2 linked regions of the Arabidopsis thaliana genome follow. The protein of the gene in region 2 interacts with the protein of the main gene of each other region in a pairwise test. Each region holds a gene or a part of one and is shown on either strand. Other genes may lie near its edges. The genes, in order: AT5G55950 and RABA1d.

What was found.
Region 1: the proteins of RABA1d (region 2) and AT5G55950 interact in a protein complementation assay, tested with the Arabidopsis thaliana proteins (one large-scale study listed by BioGRID).

The regions. Positions count from the first base shown.
Region 1 is NC_003076.8:22,657,516-22,662,261, reverse strand, and holds AT5G55950 (Nucleotide/sugar transporter family protein), read left to right. Parts: upstream 1-1,756; 5' UTR 1,757-2,008; coding exon 2,009-2,087; intron 2,088-2,235; exon of another isoform or gene 2,236-2,303; coding exon 2,304-2,455; exon of another isoform or gene 2,456-2,540; coding exon 2,541-2,749; intron 2,750-2,827; coding exon 2,828-2,921; intron 2,922-3,019; coding exon 3,020-3,186; intron 3,187-3,272; coding exon 3,273-3,443; coding exon of another isoform or gene 3,444-3,504; exon of another isoform or gene 3,505-3,526; coding exon 3,527-3,851; 3' UTR 3,852-4,150; downstream 4,151-4,746. Other genes in the region: emb2731 (Uncharacterized protein family (UPF0172)), read left to right, coding at 4,368-4,589.
Region 2 is NC_003075.7:10,319,362-10,323,870, forward strand, and holds RABA1d (RAB GTPase homolog A1D), read right to left. Parts: upstream 2,213-4,509; 5' UTR 1,979-2,212; coding exon 1,758-1,978; intron 1,219-1,757; coding exon 795-1,218; 3' UTR 501-794; downstream 1-500. Other genes in the region: NRAMP5 (NRAMP metal ion transporter family protein), read right to left, coding at 1-299; AT4G18810 (NAD(P)-binding Rossmann-fold superfamily protein), read right to left, coding at 2,902-3,000, 3,267-3,407, 3,507-3,587, 3,666-3,779, 3,866-3,989, 4,070-4,185, 4,263-4,358, 4,441-4,509.

The sequences.
Region 1 (4,746 bases), on a different chromosome or scaffold from region 2:
ACGTTCTCCTGTCTCTGTGATTATTGTAAGATCGACAGATTTATTTCTTCTATTCCAAAACAAGCACTCGATTAATATTTACTTACACGTGATTACCATTTTCTTACTATTTTATTTTATGGCACGAAGTTCCATTTCTTGATTATAAATTTTTAATATTACCGTACCAGAACGTTGACCCAAGTTTTCTATCAGGAAATTTGTTAGGAAATGACAAATTAGTGCTTGATATCATGCATGAATCATGATCAAAAGTTGGCCCCATGTTTTTAAAAACATGGGCTAAAATTTTGGGAAAAAATTAACGAAAAAAAGATTGATGAAATAATTCTGTCAAGTACATAATAAATTCATAATACGAGAATTACGTGAATAACCTAAATTTTGTATCAACATTATTAAAAAAAATAGTGTAGAGTTTCATAAATTAATAAAATAATTTAAATTCAAACTCTAATTAAATCTAACCTCTAGACTTTAAAATCTTAACTATAAATCCGTAATGCATGGAAACATTAATTCTTCTGTAAAACAATAAACAAAACAAAATGGTCAATTGTTTAGAAAGTTCAGTATTTTAGTTAGATGAAAAAGATTTACAATAATAATTGTGTGATTTATTGAGTAATGATCGGGTTTATTCACCAGCCATCAGGCGGCTGATCGGGCCAGTTAACTAACATAAGGTCTGAATAAAAATGGGCCGAATCAATAAGGCTCGTCAATCTCAGTCTTGTGCTACATGTATTTTCACTTCTTCCACTTCCAAGTTCAAACAAATTTCGCCAAAATGGGATTACCTTTATGAACCAAAAGACGACCAGGGGACCTGACTTTATCGGTGTTAATGTTTCAATCATACTAAAATCGACAGAAATTAAAGTAGTGGATCCACAAATCTTACATTTTTATTAGAATAAGAAGTTTACTTATACAAAGAGATGATGACGTGGCCATGCAAGCTTTTTGTTTTATTACGTAGGCCCTCGGCTCCAAAAGTTTGTTGAGACTTCGAAATCTTGGAATTAAAGCTTCTCGTTTTCGAGGTCAAGCGTACATGTTAAGTCATTTTTATTCGTAAAGTGATAATAAGCTTTTTAAGTATCATCAACTTTCATCACTTATACATAAAATTCATTTAATTTACTCTTTATACGTATGACACTTAACCAAAGCTTTTGCTATTTAATCATTTGGCTAACTAACACTTCTTTCTTTCTTTCTTTTGGTAGGTTGCGGAACTAATTAACGCTACTCTTTCAAAGTTAATTTTTTTTACTGATAGTGTTATGTTTCCACAACAGTATGTTGCGTGAGGTGACGTCTATATGCTTATGACTATAAGCTAGCAGCTTAAACTATGTACAAAAATGTACAATGTCATTATTGTGATCACAAAATTGGTAGTTAGTTAATGTCATATATATATATATATATATATGTGTGTGTTTTAATTTTGTTAGGTACAGAGGCACTCTTGTAAATAAAAACTACCACTAAAATCTGAATGTTTTGTGCATTAAAAAAGAAAGAAAGATAAAACCTCGTACCGATCTGAATAATTTTTTATCAATGAAGTCACAATTTTGTACGTTGATGAAGTCAACACGTGGCAAATTACAAACTCGACAATTTCCTCAAGAGAAACAAAAAAAATCCCTGAAAAATTCCTCAAAATTTTCTTAATTTTCGAGATAAATTGATTTAAAATAAAATAAAACAGAAAGATACGCAATGAAACTGCGTTTTCAAGCAAACTGCTAAATTTCTATCTTTTTTTCTCTCTCTCTCTCTCTCTATAAGGGCTCTGCTTCTTGTACAACAGCCGAAACAATTATACCATGACATTAAAATCCAGATTTTTTTCAGTCATTTTCGTATTATTTGTTTAAAAGTAAAGTTTTTCTTCCATCAAAATGGAAAATGTGATCTGGTTTTTTTCTTAGAAGATATTAAAACAATCGGAGAGAGGATTGCAAATTTTTTATTTTTGTTAATTTGCTGTGTGATGGGTCTGGTTGATTCTTTGTTAGGAAAAGATGCAAGAAAATTTCTCAAAAGGAAAGATAGTGATGCTGCAGAAGCAGGTACGTCATTATTATAACAACAATTCATGAATCTGCCTCCATATTCTTCATTTGATTTGCCTCATCATAATTCAGATTTCTCATGATCAAAAATGATGCTTTATTTATTCCCACGTTGTCTCTGTTCTTCACCGTTTAAGTTAAATGGTTTTGATCGGATCTTTAATGGTTTTGATCGGACCTTTAGGCTTTTTTGATCTGTTTGTGAATTTGTAGGACGAGCTTTGGAAGAACTCAGAAGTTCTTTGTACAATGAGCTTAAAACATCAGAAGGAGCTAAAAGGCAACAACAGAGATTTTGTGGCCCTGTTGTTGCAATGTCCTTTAATTTCGTTGTTGCTGTTGGAATCATCCTTGCCAATAAATTAGTAATTTGGTTTCTTCAATCTCAAATTCTTCTTTCTCTTTTTTTTATTTACCATGTGAATGTAATTGTAAGGTTGAATTGTGCAGGTGATGGGAAGAGTTGGATTCAATTTCCCAATCTTTCTAACATTGATTCATTATACCGTGGCTTGGATTCTTTTAGCTTTCTTCAAGTCTCTCTCTTTGCTTCCAATGTCTCCTCCATCAAAGACAACACCTTTCTCATCTCTTTTCTCTCTTGGAGCTGTCATGGCCTTTGCTTCTGGACTCGCTAATACCAGTCTCAAACACAATAGGTTCATAGCTCAATCGCTAAAGTTTGAATCAAGATTCATAGCTTAAGCTTGAAAGCTTTTGTTCTTCTTTGTTTCCAGCGTTGGATTCTATCAAATGGCTAAGATCGCAGTTACACCAACGATTGTTCTTGCCGAGTTTGTTCTCTTCAAGAAAACCATTTCTTCCACAAAGGTTTCGCTTATATCTTTTATGACATGTCAACAAAACAATCAAGAATTCATTACATGTTTTTGGTGCTTACTCTGTTTTTGCAATTTGTCCTCTTACAGGTCATGGCATTAGCTGTAGTATCTCTAGGTGTGGCAATCGCGACAGTGACGGATCTAGAATTTAATTTGTTTGGTGCATTAGTTGCTGTTGCTTGGATTATTCCAAGTGCCATTAACAAAATACTCTGGTCTAATCTTCAGCAACAAGCTAATTGGACTGCCCTAGCGTAAGAAATAAGAATCTCTCTCTTTTACTTTTACTTGAGGTGTAAGCAATACAAGTCTCTTAAAATAAAGGCTTTATTGAATGTAGATTGATGTGGAAGACAACACCGTTTACTGTCTTCTTCTTGTTGGCTCTCATGCCATGGCTTGACCCACCTGGAGTTTTGCTTTTCAAATGGGATTTAACTAACTCTTCCGCAATCCTCATCTCGGCTCTTCTCGGCTTTCTTCTCCAATGGTCTGGTGCACTCGCTCTCGGGTTAGTCTTTTTGTTCTCTTGCTTTGGTTGGAAGTTCAGTCTTGAGGTTATAAAATGCTAACTAAATTTGTTGTTTCTTACAGGGCAACATCAGCAACATCTCATGTAGTATTAGGGCAATTCAAGACATGTGTGATCTTGCTTGGAGGTTACGTTATCTTCGGCTCTGACCCTGGTTTCATCAGCATCTGCGGCGCTATCGCAGCTCTTGGAGGCATGTCTGTCTACACGTGGCTCAATCTTCCGGGGAAATCCATCGATCACATGTCAAACAAGCAGCTGCCAAAGCAAAACGTCACCGTTTCAAAACCTAAAGCCGAGGCTGACGACGGAGGAGGAGAGACCGGAGTAACCGTAGTTTCTGTTGACCCACTTCTCTCCAAGACGATAACTGCAAATATCGTATAGTTTTACAATTTGATTAGATTGCCAAAGAGAAAAAAAATGAGTTTTACTTTTTCTTCTTCAGGTTTTAGTTTGTAAAATTGGTTCAGTTTTGATATCAAATTAGTGTAGTAAAGTATACTAATAAAAATATTTTGATATCATAATGTGACAAGAGGGCTTGGTGGGTTTATTTGTACGATAATGAAATAGATGGTGTAGTTTAGAAGTAATGTAAAACTTGATGTGTATTTTTTTTTTTGTCGTCACTTGATGTGTATTATGAGGTGCAATTAGTAAATATAATAAACCTTTTTGACTTTTTCTATAATTTCAAAAACTTTAATGTAGTAAAGTGAAAACTTGTGGGGAATAGGGTTTTCGGTGATAAAATCGGGCTGACCCGAACCCGGTTTAGTGCGAGATTCCACTGTCCGTCGTTAACAAAGGAGCTAAATCTCAGAACGATTTCTCGATTTGCTTTTGCGACATTATAATTTTCCTTTCAATTGACTCAGTGAGTCGCCGATCGAGTTAGAAATGGGAATGGGAAGTAACGGAGAATTGAAGTATGAGATCTCCCAGAACGCGTACATCAAACTCGTTCTTCACTCGCTGCGACACAAGACGGCGGCGGTCAACGGAGTCCTCGTCGGTAGAATCAGCCCTAAGGACGACGGAGTTGTAGAGATCTCAGATTCTGTGCCGCTCTTTCACTCTAACCTCGCTCTCCTTCCTCCTCTCGAGATCTCCCTCATCATGGTTCGTATCTCTTCTTATTCGAATCGATTTGATTTTACGAGCTTTGAAATTGAATTTTGAAAGAGATTATGATCTGATTGCATTGGTATGTATATTGAATTACGAATTCTGGAAATTTTTAGTTCGTGTACTAAGCTTGAGCTGCATATGTTATTAT
Region 2 (4,509 bases):
GCCACAGCTCCGGCTTGTAAATCTCCTTCGATATTTCCTGGATCTAGAAACGCGATGCTCATGAGAAATCCAGGTCCGGTGAATTTCCATAGCTTTGCCCATGAGAATGGCGGAACTGAATCGTAGGTTTTGTCTCTGTCTTCTTCTACGTTCAGGATCTGATTCTCCGGTGGCGATTCGTGAAGCTCGTCCTCCTCTGGCTGAGAGGTTTCGGGAACTAATAGACGTTTGAATTCGCCGTTACTGTCGTTTGGTCTCTTAGGGCTGTTTTCTTGGCGGGAAACGGTGGATCCCGTCATCTTAGTAACGGAATATTCTTTCGGCGTTACTGACGACGTGATTTGTTTTAAGAAAATTTTAAAAGATTACATGGATTATTTTGATAAAATTAAAATTAAAGTCAAGAATAGTCAAATGAGAAAACAAAAGCAAATTCTAAAAATGAACTGTTATTAAAAGTTTCTATTATTAGAAACTGAATTGTGATCTCTATTTTTTTGACGAAAATTTTCTAAATTGGTATAACAAAAATTAGTTGTGTTCAAGGATTAGCACAATAAATATTGGTTTAGAGATATTTGCGGATTGAATTAAAAACAAACCATAGACCAGAACCGGTTAAATTACAAAATCCCTTAACCGGTACAGAATCAGACCAAAGCTAAGCAATTTTCAAACAAGCAAATCAAAAGGCATAACATAGTTTGTTTTCCTAAAAAAAAGCAAACATCTTCAAAAACAAAATTTGAATGTAAAATTTAAAAACCGATTTCAGCTTTAGGACATAAGACCATTTAGTTGGAGCAGCAACCAGTTTTCTTCACTGCGGAAACATCAACATCGATCTTCTCTCCTTTCGAAGGAACATTACCGGAATCTTCACCAGCCTCCATTGCTTTCTTGCTCACAACATGGTAAATCTGAGTGAGTACTTCAGAAAACGCGTTCTCAACATTGGTAGATTCAAGAGCTGAGGTTTCCATGAAGTAGAGTGATTCATTCTCTGCAAAAGATTTTGCATCTTCGGTTTGGACTGCTACAAGATGGCGAAGATCGGATTTGTTTCCCACAAGCATCACAACTATGTTTGGGTCAGTGTGGTCACGGAGTTCCCTTAGCCATCTCTCAACGTTTTCGAATGTTGAGTGTCGGGTTACGTCGTAAACAAGAAGCGCCCCAACAGCTCCTCGATAGTAAGCACTAGTGATTGCTCGGTATCTAAAAATAGCGAAAAGAGGAGAAACAAAAACCCGTTAACGACTTAGTCATTGAAACTCTGTTAAATTAGAAAGATAGGAACATAATAAGAACCGAAATGACAAGAAAGACTTCAAAGCAATAAGCTCTTCAGCTTCAATGGTAGAAAACGATCATTAAAGAAATCGATATCGTCATCAGAATTAACGAACATATAGAAACACCATGAACATATACGATACCGAAGATTATCATCAACCACTGGTTGATCAAACTAATCAGCAAAACAACAGAATTTCTACAAAGCTGGTAACTTTAAGCATAATTGTTGAGTTCTCTCATTATACACAAATACAATGTACACTTCACCTCCAGTAATTATATACACGATCACAGGTTAGGTTGATTTCTCAAGCTTTCTCTACGATAAACTGATTCCATTAACTAAGACAGATCTAATGAAATTGTATTGACTCCACAATGCATCAGAAGGCCAATACCTAAAACACAGATCGAGAAATGAACAAATGAAGACAAAATCAAAGAGACGGAGCTTAAACCTTTCTTGACCAGCAGTGTCCCAAATCTGGGCTTTGATGACTTTTTCATTAACATTCAAGCTACGAGTCGCGAACTCGACCCCGATCGTTGATTTAGACTCGAGACTAAACTCGTTCCTGGTGAATCGAGAAAGCAAATTGGACTTTCCAACACCTGAATCACCGATCAGAACCACCTTGAATAGGTAATCGTAATCATCATCTGCTCTGTAACCCGCCATTAACACTTCTCACTGAATCAAAAAAGCTTCACACTTTCAACGAATAAAGAAACGAAAATTGCTCTATGATCCCAGAAAATTGAACAAAACTTCGATTTTGCTTTTTTACTTTCTTCTTTATTCTCTTTAGATTCAAATATTTATTCCTCAGATTTCTACAGAAAGACACAGACTTTGAAAAAAGTTAGGGTAAGACTGGTGTCTTTCTAGCTGGACCATGATCACCGATAGATTCTGGGTGAAATATTTTGTATACATGTACTAAACTACCCCGGATTCACTCCCTAAGATCAGGGGTAGATCCGACATTTCGTTAAACTTTTGTATGTATATGTTACATGCTTTCATTTTCTTGAAAAGGTCAAAAAGTAGTGGTGGTGGTCATGTTACATTGGTAAACGGCGATATTTCAGTCACTCTCAATGATGATCTAACAAAAATGAAACATTTCTAGCTCTATCTTCTAGTTAGTGGATTCTGTATATACCCAATGGGTTTCAACACACACTAAAATGGAAGCCCATATGGGCTAATCACATAGTAGTTGTGTGTATTGTCTAAATTCTTTGAGGTTAGCAAAAACTCACATATCTGCTGCCATGTGAAAAGAGTTCAATGATTTGTGTATTATGTAATATGTAATCCAAAAACGCATCTGTACATTAAGAAAAGAAACAAAAAAAAGAGTGAAAAAGGAACATAGACAAATGTTCTGTGCTCCTCTCCACTCATCCTCCATTATTAGCCAAAAAATCCATTATTTTGTCATTACCATAAAAGTCTCCATCAACCCTTTTCCTCATGAAACCCTCCTATCAAAATTTAGATTCTTTACTTTTTCTTTTCTTTAAAAAATGTCTGAAACTCCACCTACATCTTCATCTTCTTCCTCTGTTTTAACTCAGAATGTTACAAAACCAGTTTCAGACAAACTTCTTCAGAAGTACATTGACGTGTCTGAGTTTCAGTTTGATTACCAGACAAGCGGTATCTGGTCTCCACCGTTTCAACGGACTGCTTTTCTTACACCACAAGGCAAAATTCTCACAGACAGAGAAATGGCAGAGAAATTTCAGAATCTTGTTGAAGAACCTCCACGGATCAAAAGGTACAATCTTTATTGTTGTCGTCAATAAGCTTTTGTAAATCTTATCTACAATGTACGATATATGGAGTATACAAACATGTTTCTACACGACTCTTTTGTTGTTGTTTTTACTTTTGGAAAGATTTTTAACGAAGATGAGACAACACACAGTTACAAAAGTAGATAAAACCTGGTTTAAACTGCAACAGTGCTCTGTTCTAAAGCTTCTTTACCGGTGATTCCATCTTTCAGAGTCTTGAAATACTCATTGTAGTCTTTCTCCGGTGGAGGATTCTCAGGATCTACCGTGAAAGGCTCGCTAAACGGAACCGTACTTTTAACCTGAAACAAACAAACAACACACAAAACAGCCCAATTCAGAAATTTAACTTTTTGAATAGCAACCCGGAAAAATCGAAAAATTGATGATTCTTTAAAAACCTCGAAGGTCTTGTTAAGAGCATACGGGCTTTCTAAAGCAGCGATGCATATACGCGCTACTTCGTCTCTTGATACCTTCCCCTATATAAAGGTAAAGTTGGTTAGGTTAGTTAACTTAAAGAGTTGTTGGATTTCAAGGAGAAGCGAAATTGAAAATACCGTAATGTTGTCTCCTTGTTCGAAAATGAGATCAGCTCCGGCAGGCTCTTCTGTTAAAGCACATGGCCGTACAATTGCAAATGGAATCCCGCTGTCGCGTATCAGATCCTCTCCCTAGTCATTCAAAAGTAAGAGCTTTAAAATCTTTTGAAAATGACTTTTCCAATTTTCTGCGAAGCAGAGAGTATAGAGAGACAAACCTTTAACTTGTAAGTGAGAATGAAATCAAGCTCTTTGTTTAATCTCACGGCCGGAGGTTGTTTGCTTAGATCCAAACCGGGTCTCTCTGGTCGAGTAACTCCCGCAGAGCCAACGTGAACAAACCTGTAACGATAAGTAACGAAATGCTAGTTCAGCATTTAGTGAAGAGTTTGGTTTCTAAAAAGCAAGAAACTAGATCAGACCTTGGAGTGACGGGGTCTTGGATATAAGCTCGAATGCTAGATAAAGGAAGCTCGAAAGGTCCTTCTTTGAATGTAGGGTTAAGCTTACCATCATACTCAAATTTGCTAAACATAAGCTGAAAAATAGCCAACTTATTAATCAAACATTTAGAATGGGAATTTTAAGAGGGTTAACACAAAAAGGAAAACAAACCTGTAGTGAAATGATACTGCTTGCATTAAAAGGTGGTGCATCTGTAACTGTACGTGCGCGAAATACAGGTCTTAAAGACGAGAAAGGTAAGCGTACCTATGATTTAAAGTAACAGAACTATAATTAATCTACCCACAAAAGTATATCGAAAATGAAAGACAAAAGTGATTTTACTTACAGATTGCCATTGGCCTGGTGAAGTGTCAAAACTGGCGGTGTAACCAACAGTATCCCAATCTTGGCTTGT